3 linked regions of the Bombyx mori genome follow. The protein of the gene in region 3 interacts with the protein of the main gene of each other region in a pairwise test. Links are inferred from orthologs where the notes say so. Each region holds a gene or a part of one and is shown on either strand. Other genes may lie near its edges.

Region 1 (4,207 bases), on a different chromosome or scaffold from region 3:
CGGGTTGACGTCATTCGCCTTATTGACACGTGTGACGTGCTGCGTACCCAACAGCTGAGAAAGTATTAAAACTATGAAAAGATTATATTCATGTCTATTTCAGATTTTTTTAAAACTTAAATGTAGTTTTAGACTCTACCTAGACTAGATGTATTGTAGAATCTAAGGAAAAACATTATTCGAGATACCTATTTGATATCTAAATTTTTGGTGCTAATCCATCCATCAAGTGAAACTGCTTGTCTAATTGTGATTGAAATAAATTATAATACTCACTGTGAAGCCTAATTTCTGGATTATTCTAGCATATTTTCTTGCCGCTAAACGGGAGTCTTCCTCACTTTTGGCACCAGTACAGACCATTTTACCAGATGAGAAAATTAAAGCTGTTGTTCTCGGTTCCCTTATTCTCATAATTACAGCGGCAAAACGTTTGGGATTATACTCAGCATTACGAGCATGTAATGCAATCTTCTTCAAATCTAATTTGCAGTCAAGATTTACAGTAGAGACTATGTTTCTGAAATGTTTTTTGAATGCAACTTTAAAAAAATATGGATTATTTAGACTTAATTTTAGTCAAAATTGTGATTTTTTTCTACATTAAAACGAGATTTCATTTTATTAGTTGGTTAAAGTATGTTAGACTTTTCATCTTTAAACCAAAACATTACACTCCATTGGGCAAGTAATATAATAGATATTTGAAACTATTTATTCAAAAATTTTAAATTGATATTTACTCAAAAAATTCAACCTAGGGCATGCTGAAATTAATTTTAATTTTATATCTTTAACACTAACATTCTGGCACTTCAAATCTCCCATTAATTATCGAATTAGAGAAAACGAGGAAAGAATCCAGGTAGCAAAGGCGCCATTTGAGTTGCTCTGCTCTGATACTGAATAATAACATATTATAGTGTAAGAATTCTGTATTTTCAGCAATCACTTTTTGTATTAATTAATGAAATTCCATGGGATATAAATTGAAGGGAAATTATAATTCCAATATTAACATTTGAATAGATGTTTGAAAAGTATAGTCAAAATATTGAAGAGTTCCTCAGAATCTATGTTCTGTACAGTGAACACTAAGAACCACACTATTGTTGGCTTGGCTGCCACAAGTTGCTTATTTGCAAATTTGAGTATTACTATCAATACAGTTTGCATTATGCTAAGTCCAGCAAACAAGGGCCAAATATATTATGAAGTTCCAAGCCAGTTACTTTTACGAGAAGGTATATATTCAACAAAATAACCAAGCTTACTGAATGATACTAACCACCATTCTTTTTTATTACTGTCCATCACATTTACAGTATGATTATGATCTTTGAGCATACTAAAATGAGAAAATTGGTTGTTTTGTAAATAATATCATACTGCAAAAATTTTACATATAAAAAAAACTAGTGTTGACTAAATTTGTCATCTTTTGATATAATTTGCAAGGTAGTGGCCCCTTTTGTAAAAGTGAAGTTATTTTAAAACATGTCTCATAATAATTAACTCAATCAAACTACATTTAGTTTTGCCAACTTAATGGTTATTTAGCCTTACAATATAAAGTAAACAATGTAAAATTGGCAAAATTATCCTCATAATAACAACATGGTCCAGCATAGCAGACTTCAATGGCAAAAAATGTCTTGTATCAGAACATGTGTAATTATTTGTGATTTGCCCTGAATTGTGAACCTACACAGGATGATAATACTAAAATTCTGTCTATATGTGTCACAAAGCAGATATTATTAATTTCAGCTTGGAGGGTGATGATACAAAAATGTCCTTGAAATTTCTTACTTTTTAAGATGGTGATATTGTGATGTTTATCACTTAGATCTCTGGTTATCACTTAGAACAGGTTATCTTTGACTTTAAATACACGTTGTTTTTTTTTAGCAGAATGAAAAATAACCTGGCCTCTTAAACTGTTTCAGATTAACTGTAATTTGAAGTCTGTGTGAAGTTGTGAGAAGTTGAAGATTCTTAAGAGACCCCACTAAGGGTCTAATAAGGTTCATTATACACATCACTGCTGAGTTTAATACTCTAAACTTTTTAATTTAATATTTTATTAAATTGATATTGGACAAATGTTTCAAATACTAACTGTAACTGTGGTAAAATTCCAGGGTCTGCAGAGAGTGGTGTCAGAGGAGTCATTGGGGCAGGACTAGCTTGGCTTAGCATTTGTTGACTTGATAGATTTCCTGCAGCTATCATCGGAGACATCATATTTTGCTAAAAGTTGATATAGCTGAATGTTAATGTTAAATTTATCTAGAAATTAAAGAGTGTTGAATTGTTGGTTTGGATTAAAAAGCAAATATGAAATCATTGAAAAATATTACTGTCAAAATAATTTAAAATTATAAATGGAAATTCTCGTAAAACAAGGACTTAAAATCCTTACTGGAGTTTGAGGCTGCATCATCTGTTGCGGAGTTGCATAGCTGGCTGTTGGTGCATATGTGTGCATAGACCTCTGTGGAGTCCCCATGATTGCGCCAAATCCTACAATTGGCGACGAACCCAGAGCGGCAAGTGACGGTTGTGCCTGGGACTGTTGCTGTTGAAGCTGTTGCTGTTGCATTGCATTAGGCAAGATTTGCTGGTCTTCTTCAGGTTGATGCAATGGTGTACCTATTCCAGGTATGTTATACGGACTTGGCAGCATATGATCCATTTTTCTTTCTTTACTTTCTTTATATGGAAACTTCGGGTGAGTGTTTTAGTAAGCGTCGACCTAACTGTCTATTTATTAATTGATAATGACGCTTATATCGTTCTTACTTTCTGAACAATATCACCTAAATTGTGAAATTATTTGCAAATTTAATGGATCAGCAAAACAATTAATACAATGAATTAAAACAGTTAAAACTTAGTTGATCAACACAAGTCACATTATGTAGGTATCTATATAATTCCTCATTTTTCAAACAAAATTCAGAACCAACATGTCAAAGTAAAATCATATTCGCGATAAGCGAAGGCGATGGAATGAAACTATTCAGCCTAGTCCATTATTTTGTGTTAAAAGACAATTTGGTTTGTTAAATCCAAAGTGTAATAGAATAGAATCAAATGTTATGGACTAGGTACCCGATGAAACTTAATGAGTGAGATGAAATGTAATGATGTCTCTGTAGAACCACAGGTAGAGATGCCCATGTAGCGCTCGTGTGCAATAATTATCTAGCGCTCTCCAGTAAGCGCGCGTTCAAAATGGAATAGGTACGTAGAAATGTAACAGGTTCATTGAAAATGTCAAGGCCGCGCCGGCGCCGCGGTGCACTCTGTTGTAACCTTCTTTTACATATTCCATTATTTGAAATATACTTCAAACACATTGTCATTTTTGCTACCTATCATTATTATATTTTATGCTATGTCTTGAAAACATTGTTTTATTATATTGGCGACGAGTTAAAAGAAATTAAGATGAACGATGAACAATTCGCATTATTTTTACATGCACAACAAAACCAGCAAGAGCAGATTTTACAAATCTTGAAATTGTTGGTACCAGCAGTTTGCAATACAACGGCCAAGAGCGTGACGAACGACTCTTTTACAAAACATGATACGGATAACAAGATAAGTATAATCAAACATTTCAATATGGATAAATACAATCCAGATACATTCAGAATTGACGATTACATTGATTTTTTCGAAAACAAATGCAAAATTCTTGCTATCGATAACAGCGACTTACAGAAAGATTTGCTTCTGAATTTACTAACACCAGAGATATTCCACGAATTAAAAGTAGCTTTAACGCCTGATTTCGATATAGCTACATACAGCGAAATTTGTAACAAATTATTAGACCTCTATCGCATAAAAACGACGAGGTATAGAGCCTTAACAGAATTTTGGAATTGCACTAGAGAACAAAATGAAACGATGGAACACTATGCAAACAGATTAAAAGGTCTTAGTCGGGATTGTGGCTACACTAATGACTTCCTGGAACGACAATTACGTGACCGCTTTGCCACTGGATTGAATCATCCAGATTTAGAAACCGACTTGAAACAAAAATGGCCTGATTTAGTTCAAATGGTAGACGGAATACCACGAGAAGTAACCTTCCAACAAATTTTTACAATCTCTCAATCAAGAGAACAGGCAGAACAAGACACACCACGAACAAGTATTAAAAAAATAAATAGGAGCAAAACCAAAA
Region 2 (4,088 bases), on a different chromosome or scaffold from region 3:
TTATATTTATATATATTTGTATAAAACGCGTGTTATGGGATCACACAAGTGCGTCATATGAAAATACTCCTACAACGTGTTTCCTATAACATGGAACCAATTGACTGTGTTATAGGATGGATTACTGTATAATAATTTATAATAGATATTTTTGATATTTTTAAACAATGGCTTGTCTGTTATACAGTTAAGATTATATTAATCAAATAACTTATAATTTCTAAAATTTATAAAAAATTTATTAAAGTATAACACTAAATTATAAATATATCTATAAACACATATCTAATTATATTGCATATATTATTGTATTTACTAATAAATATTTAAATACTTGAAGCAGCTTAATAACTATGCATAATAAGCATGCTCTACAGCTAGCACGGACATTTGGCTTATACTTAGATGTACTGTTGGGGTACCAGCGCATATATTTATGCCTTACATTAAACTAATGAATCCAGGTAATTAGTATTTATAAGTAATGATACTCCAATTAGAATCTTCTTACCTTGTTAATAAGAACATGCACCTTCACCACATTTGTACATGCATGAACAACATGAAATTGGACAAACATGAGATTCTCAATGTGGCGCAAGAGAGAGGGGGGGTTGTCCAATCTCAGTCAGGGTGTGAGTGGTTGTGCCTACTTACTGCTGGCACAGTGGACAGCCTGATGGTTTGAGGCTGGGGCGTCGTGAGAGAGCTGGCCGCTGGAGCGGGACCCACTCTCAGCAACTGGTATTGACCATTCTCTGTCTTTAACAACAAATGACCCTGCTGGCCCGGTTGTAGACTTGGTAGTGTTTGCAGCGTTATCTAAAAATTGAACGCTTCAATTCAATTTCACCTACTTCTTCATTAAATGAAGAGTAACAAGTGAAAGAATATATATTTTACTAAATATAAAATTGGAATGCGAATTCCTAAAGCAGGTCATTTGTTAAAATTTATAACACACTTCAGTGACATGACAACATTGACGGGACAGGTGACTGTGCAAAACTAACATGTATATGATATGATTATGACAAGGTTAGGATGGGTTAAGCTATTATTGATTACAATATTATACAAAAGCCCGAGTAGCACAATGCAATTATATATGACATATATGACATCTGAAATGAAGCTTTCTCAGATTCCATTAAACTGGTAAAGATTGCTTGATTTCATAAATTTTACTAATATTTTTATTTGTAGCAGTTTTATGGATTCCCAGAAAATTATATAATAAAGTTTAATTTATAAATCCATGTTGTATTAGGTTTATATTTTGAGGCATTATTTGATTGTAGGGTAGCAGAATTCAAAGTTAAATTTCAGCTTGTTTATGATATGCAAACCACTGAAAATTTGTTGAATCACCAGTGGGCCCATTTCCCATTGATAAAAGTTTAACAAGCAGTATTCTGTGTTTATGTGACAATTTGTGCAAATATGCTAAGAGTTTTAGATGACAGTGATGTTGCCCGAAGAAATCCATCCTCTTCATGTTTCAGTGAAATTTATTTACAGATAAGTGGGTATCTAAGAATTGTGTTAATATCTTTTGTACATAACCATAATGAACCATGTTATAACATTTATTTTTACAGCATAACATTATAATGCAGAAAGATCCTGTAGATTTTTTCTTTTTTGTTTTAGTTCCTCTATAATGTCTATTGTTAATTTGTTTTAGGACTGATAAAAAGACAATAAAAACAATAGAAGATTCTGATTTGATTAAATTAGAAATTAATAACATTAACTTATTTTAAGTTTAATGATTTTTATCTTTTACAAACATTTCAGAAAAGTTGCAATATACTATGTTTTGAATTTCCTAAATATTGTTTTATTTATAAAAGTTTTTTTTTTTTTGGTGGTATATTTACTTTACAACTTGTATCAGTCCTAAAAGTTTTAAATAAGTTTTAGTGACAAAACGCTTGGATAAATAATTAATGTATTAATATTTTAACATTTGAGACTTACGCCTGGTCCTGCAGCTCTGGTGCCAACAACTTGTGGGGTGCCTATCACTACTCTTGGTGATACTGTTGCTACTGACTTTTGTGCCGCAACTGCTGGAGCACCAGCTCTCATATTCAGAATCTGAACATTAGGGAGTATTGTGGGCTGACTCGAACCCAAGTTCTGAGTTGTTACAACTACATTTTGTCCAGGTTTGTTCAAAGTCATTACATTTGGTATTGAACCGGACATGCTTGAATTGGCTGTCATCGGTACTGTGACCATTCCAGACTGTATTCCCACTTGGCCCGAAGACGTCCCCTGTTTTAAAACTAAAGGAGGTTGCATCGCGTCTACTGACGTTATCAAATGATTTTGGGACGAGGACAACCCAACGAAACCGTTCGGAAGTGACTGAGCGGGAAATGTCACCGAATTTGGGTTAGAAAATGCTTGAGCCTGAGAATATATAACTTGTATGTTATCGTTACAATTGGTCACAGTACCACCCGGTGTCAAAGAGGAATAAGTACCAGGAACACTTGATTGGACATTATTACAGGACGTGCTATTTGTCAACGAGGGTCTGTGTATACTGTTCGCGGCAATACCGCAGCTAACTCCGCCTGTTGTATATTTATGACCACTTATAATAGAGCCCGCGTTCGAACTTAGCCCGGGAAACTGAGATGATAAAACGTTCACTAAAATATTTTGTGACGGCGCCGACGATACGTTAGTAACTAATTGGTTTTCGAGAGTGCCCACGATCGCGTTCACGGCTTTCTCGTCGACGTCTGTGGACAAAGCTTCCTCCAAAAACTCCGTTGACGCCATTTTCTACAAATCAGCGGATATGACACTGGACGGTTACAAACCGGTATTTACCGACAAAATGTGGTATCACTGCTTTTGGAAACAACTTTTATTTTTTACTTTTTAGATTTTTGTCTGTTTGATAAAAAGTACTTTTTTTAAGACAGCCCAAATAAAATCACTACCTTTTCAATAAAAAGAATAATTTTGTTATTTGACTGAAAATTGTACAAATGTTGGTAATACATGCTAAAAGTTGTCATACCTCAGATGACTATATACAATATTTACAGTTAAATACACAGGGACATAAAATAAGGTACATAAATAAATAAATAAACACCAACTTTGTGATCTGTTAAAAGTGTCCGCCAAAAAGTAGAACAGCGTCTTTGTACAAAGGTGAGCCAATTTACAACTGCAAAGGTTTCAGGCTAAAACTTATTCTTAATTCGCTATTCATAACTATATTTTAATTTTAAGTCTCTTTTGTTGTGATTGTGTTAGACACTTTATAAATTACGTTCTTATCAAATCCTAATGTTATAATACCACATTTTACTCCATCTAAAGTGATCGACATTCCTTAATGAATTGAATTATAATGAGGTCTAAGTCGCAAGTCGCAAAATTTTAGTTATGATATTAATTTATATTTTTGGAAAAATATTAACAAGCTAAAAAGCTACGTTAATATTTTTTAAATTATCTATACCAATATTATAAAGAAGAAAGATTTGTTTGTTTGTTTGTATTGAATAGGCTCCGAAACCACTGAACCGATTTGAAAAATTCTTTCACTGTTTCGAAGCTACATTATTCCCGAGTGACATAGGTTATATTATTTTTTGAAAAATTTAGGGATCTTACTAAAACTAAAACTCCAATAATGTAACCCAAGGTGTAAAAAAATTACCTTCAATATTCTTTCCATCGCGTGCCCTGCGAAAACTATTGATAATAGAATAAAATAATGTACAACTTTGTAGAACACATTATTTACAAAAAGTGTCGCAACAGCATATGTACTCTTATAGTTATTCCGCAATAAGTGTTCTTTTATTTAAAAAAAAATAAAACAACGTCAAATATCATTGAATTTTTTATTAAAGACCCGAGCGGAGACGGTGCGGGCCGCTAGTACTGTATAAATTGAATTAAATTCACGAAAATTTTAGTGCGTTTCAATATGATTAGTAGCATAAATAAAGTAGAGTAAACGAAATAAACGAAATAAAACACGATTTTAGGGCGAAATAAAGAAGGGACTTTAAGTGGGCTCCCTCAGAGGGTAGAACCCAAATATATTA
Region 3 (4,345 bases):
TGTATTGAGCAATAGAATTAAAGAAATTAATTGAAACAGCAATGATAAGAACGCGAGATATTTTATTTTATGTGGTTGTTTATTATTTCTTTCGGTTTATTATTAAATATTATTTCTTCTTTCTCTGTCGAATCCGCGGCACTCGAAGTTGTGTCTGAATACACCATCTTGGCCAAATTTTTTATCTAGGCAGGGCCAACTTCGAGAAGGAAGCTGATAGGCGCGTACAGTTGGGCTGGGCTGCGTATGGAAAGCTCTGTCATATCTTTAACTCAGCAAACCAGCAAAGCCTAAAGATGAAAGTCTTCAACGATTGCGTGCTAACGGTCATGACATAATATGGCGCTCAAACGTGGACATTGACCGTAGGTCTGACTCGTAAGTTCAAAGTCACACAGCATGTTATGGAAAGGGATATGCTCGGAGTTTCTTTCATGGATCGAGTCAGAAATGAGGAAATCCGTCGAAGAACCAAAGTAACCGGTATAGCCCTAAAGATTAGCAAAGCTGACGTGGCAATAGGCCGGATATACGTATCGCAGACCCAATGACCGATACCCGATACCACATACCCGGAAGCGCAGTGCTGAACGTCCCGCTTCCCTGTGAACCGAAGACTTACGGTGATATGCTGGAGAAGATTGGATGCGGAAGGCGGAGGACCGTTCATTATGGCAGACTATGGGGAGGCGTACATCCAGCAGTGGAGAGATAAAGGCAGATGATTATGTAGGTTCTTAATCGTATTGTTTCTATAAAAGTCTAAGATGTGGTTTTCGAGCTCTTCCAAAAATTTATTACTTTATTCCATCTCACTTACTTAATTCCACAAAACATTCAATTTTATTCCTTAATTTCATTTTATACCTAAACTTTTTTACTGGGCAAGGAACATTGGTGTCGGCTTATTTTTTTAAATTATAATAATTAATAAATTATTGTTATGAGTATTAATTTTTTTGCCAATTTAGTGAATCAATCAAACATTTTTGATACTGGAGTTTATAGTTGTCTCGACTTTTTGACGGGAACGCGAGAAGCGAAGTTGTGTGAATTGTTTTATTTTGTCTATTTAGTGTTTCTTCAGGTTTAAATCTGTAATAACGGTGGCTTATTAACCTTTTAGTATCTGTAAAAGTGCACAAATGTGGGAAAATGAAACAAAGCCGATGGACGTAGCTTTTCGGGATCTTCCAAAATGTCCACTGAAAAAGTTTCAATAATTATTATCCACCATTTTACTGAGATTATACTTCATCCTATGTTATCTCATCTCATTTAATTTAATTTCATACCAATTGATTAATGTTTCAAATTAATCAACTTTGTTTTTTATTTCATTCTGTATTATCATTTTTCATAAGAAAAGGAAATAAACAATTAGTCGTTATGGTTTGATACCTTTGCCATTACAGTTAGAAAAATAGAACTTCTACTACTGTTAACTTAATGTCAACTCAAAATCTATGTCAAAATCTACGAGGCAAACAGCAAACACTCATAAATAAAGAATAATACCATTTGAAACAAAAAAATTGCAATGCAACTTGAGTAGCCTTATTAAACATTATACATATCTTAATTAAACTAATATTATGAACTTGGAAATGTAATTGTATTGTACTTCTTCGAACCATGTGTGATAGTGACGAACAAGGTGACCACAGCCGTTCAGGCTTGGATCTGACCGGGTTCTTGTTTGGTAATATTGACGAAAGGGGTCAGTTAGAAGATGATGGATTGCTAGATGGTGAATCGAAGCGAATGTTATCATCGCTTAGCCGCTTAGGTTTAGGGTCTATGCTCTCTGAAGTCCTGGAGGTTGAGGAACCAGTTAAAGAAGAGGAAGAAAAAGGTTAGTGTTTTTTTTTATCAATTTCGACTCTGCATTGTCGATGTTGAGTGTGTTACTACATTTGACGACACATTTGACTAAATTTGTCTAAATTTTGACTACATTTGAATAAACATGCCTTGAAAGTAAACCAGTAAATGTAATAATACTTTAGAATATGTGTTTGTAATTGTCACTACGGACCTTAAATGAATAAAATTAAAGGGGTAAAGCTAAAAAGAAGTCGTAGAATATCAACTGGGGATTTTCACATTTTATTCATTCTGTTTACACAAATCTCGAAGTACTGACCTGATTTTCATGTAGATTTTGTAGGTACTAGTGAGACAGAATATCTTGCTGCAGAAAGTAGGCTTTGCTTCATTACAGAAGAATGTTGCAAAAAATGTTATTGTCATTTAATTATTTTCGAAATTATATATAATTTATAATTAGTATGTAAGTACCTAGCTCTATTTGTATGTTTTCACTTCTAAACCACTATACTAAGTTTGAATTTAGTTTCGTGTCGAAATTATTACTGTATAAACCTTAGGAAATAATATGGCCTATATTTTGTCCCACTGCTGTAAATGGGTCTCCGTCACTCTTATATAAAAAGTAAATGGGTTGTGCACAGCTGTATTGGTAATTGAATGAAAGCCAAATAAAAAAAAGTAAAATAGTAAACAAATAGTTGTTGATTTTTATATTTCAAACCTATATTAGATATTAAGAAACCTTTTCATTAGTGTAAATTAGCACATTTTTTAAATGGTAACATGCACATAGACATCACATGGCAAATCAGTTTGAAGTCCCAAATGCCGAAATCACCTACTCTTGAAATGGAATGCTTGCTTATTTTCTAGTAAAAATATGCAGAACCTTTGCCTTACCTTTAAGTAGCTGATATAAAAGTTTTGAATTGGATAACCAATGGTATTATGAGAAATATGCACTTATGATGAGAATATGCACATAGATTAGCAGTGAGTAAGCAAACTTCAGTCATAAATCATACATAGTCAACAGTGAAATCCAAGTCAGGAAACTTAGAAGATAGTAGTTTCTTTTAGTATGGTTCAAACTACTGTTAAGGTTTAATCTCACATTTTCTTATGTCAACTGAAATTTTAACTTAACTTTTAAACTGAAGACATTATTAATTGCAGCAATGGTAAACATCTAATTCTTTATTTTATTTCATCAGACTATAATGAGAAAAGTCCATCGGCTGTGGACTTTTTTGACATTGAAGATGCAGCAGAGGATATAAAAGTATGTTTTTGATTTCACAAACCAACTTATAATATTGCATAGTATTTAATCTATTAAACAGCTATCTATTCTATCTAAACACCTACCATTATTTTAAAACTAATCACTAGCTCTGAAATAAATTTATGTTGGTGTTACAGGTAGAAAATAATGTGATAAAATTTGAAAATACTTCAGATGTACAAACTGTGCATAGCAGCAATGTTCCTGTGATTATTGATTCACAGAGTATTAAAGAGGAATTAAAAGAAGATACTTGGAGGGACACTGATATTGCAGGAGAACAAGAGGTACAGAGTACCAATGATGATGGCTATGAAGGTGATATGGAAGGTGATGGTGGACTTATGCCCCCTCCTTCGACAGTTCCGTTAGTATATTCTTTTCCAACTTATGAATGAAAAGGGAACAGATTCACCCAATTAGATAGAGAATTTCATTTTATGACAACACAAATTGCATAATTGCTAATAGTATGATATAATGTAACCAAATTAATGGCTTATATGTAAGTACCAATATGTTGCCTATTTCGTAATCAAAATTTAATTTAGTAGATATTGGTAAATACAGAAATACAATATGACATTAAAATAAAATGAAAATTAATTGTTTTACAGACCCCCCAAACAAGAAAAACCCAAAAAACTAGATACTCCATTGGCTGCAATGCTTCCATCTAAATATGCCAATGTTGATGTCACAGAACTGTTTCCGGATTTCAGACCAGATAGAGTGAGTAATATGTTGTTTTTAAATATTAACAAGAGCTGAATTCTCAAGCTAATAAATGTTATTTATTTGCTGTTTTCATGAAATTTTATTTGATAAATATTCATGTAGGTACTTCTTTTCTCTCGACTTTTTGGACCTGGAAAACTGTCCAGCTTACCGCAAATATGGCGCGGTGTTAAAAAACGTAGACGTCGAAAGCGCAGTGGAAGTACAGGCAGTGACACACCACCGATGGTTCCAGACAGTCAGGAACCTCAATATGCAAGTGACGATGAAGAGAAACTTCTCAAGTAAATATACTGAAGATTAAAACAGCATTTTCTTTATCAATAGCTTACTCTCTTATGTATGTATCCTTAAATTAATGATTTAAAAATAAATTTAATAACACTTATTTTAGGCCTATGGAAGAAAATCAACAGATGTCTAATGACGATAAGGGATTAGGCTCAGGAGACAAAGCACAAAGGCCAACACCGGCCCACTGGCGTTTTG

What was found.
Region 1: the proteins of Taf1 (region 3) and Tbp interact in binary tests that used the Drosophila melanogaster proteins (3 or more experiments, as listed by UniProt). The link is inferred for Bombyx mori from reciprocal best matches to the Drosophila melanogaster genes Taf1 and Tbp.
Region 2: the proteins of Taf1 (region 3) and transcription initiation factor TFIID subunit 4 interact in binary tests that used the Drosophila melanogaster proteins (3 or more experiments, as listed by UniProt). The link is inferred for Bombyx mori from reciprocal best matches to the Drosophila melanogaster genes Taf1 and Taf4.

What each region holds. Positions count from the first base shown.
Region 1 is NC_085118.1:10,751,577-10,755,783, forward strand, and holds the start of Tbp (TATA-box-binding protein), read right to left. Parts: upstream 2,912-4,207; 5' UTR 2,699-2,911; coding exon 2,426-2,698; intron 2,254-2,425; coding exon 2,123-2,253; intron 2,087-2,122; exon of another isoform or gene 1,950-2,086; intron 1,874-1,949; exon of another isoform or gene 1,771-1,873; intron 1,245-1,770; exon of another isoform or gene 1,107-1,244; intron 521-1,106; coding exon 277-520; intron 1-276. UniProt on the Drosophila melanogaster protein: General transcription factor that functions at the core of the DNA-binding multiprotein factor TFIID.
Region 2 is NC_085107.1:19,834,952-19,839,039, forward strand, and holds the start of transcription initiation factor TFIID subunit 4, read right to left. Parts: upstream 2,823-4,088; 5' UTR 2,800-2,822; coding exon 1,984-2,799; intron 823-1,983; coding exon 658-822; intron 1-657. UniProt on the Drosophila melanogaster protein: TFIID is a multimeric protein complex that plays a central role in mediating promoter responses to various activators and repressors.
Region 3 is NC_085123.1:8,778,520-8,782,864, reverse strand, and holds the start of Taf1 (transcription initiation factor TFIID subunit 1), read left to right. Parts: upstream 1-1,480; 5' UTR 1,481-1,635; coding exon 1,636-1,855; intron 1,856-3,047; coding exon 3,048-3,115; intron 3,116-3,255; coding exon 3,256-3,485; intron 3,486-3,735; coding exon 3,736-3,850; intron 3,851-3,958; coding exon 3,959-4,140; intron 4,141-4,250; coding exon 4,251-4,345. UniProt on the Drosophila melanogaster protein: TFIID is a multimeric protein complex that plays a central role in mediating promoter responses to various activators and repressors. Largest component and core scaffold of the complex.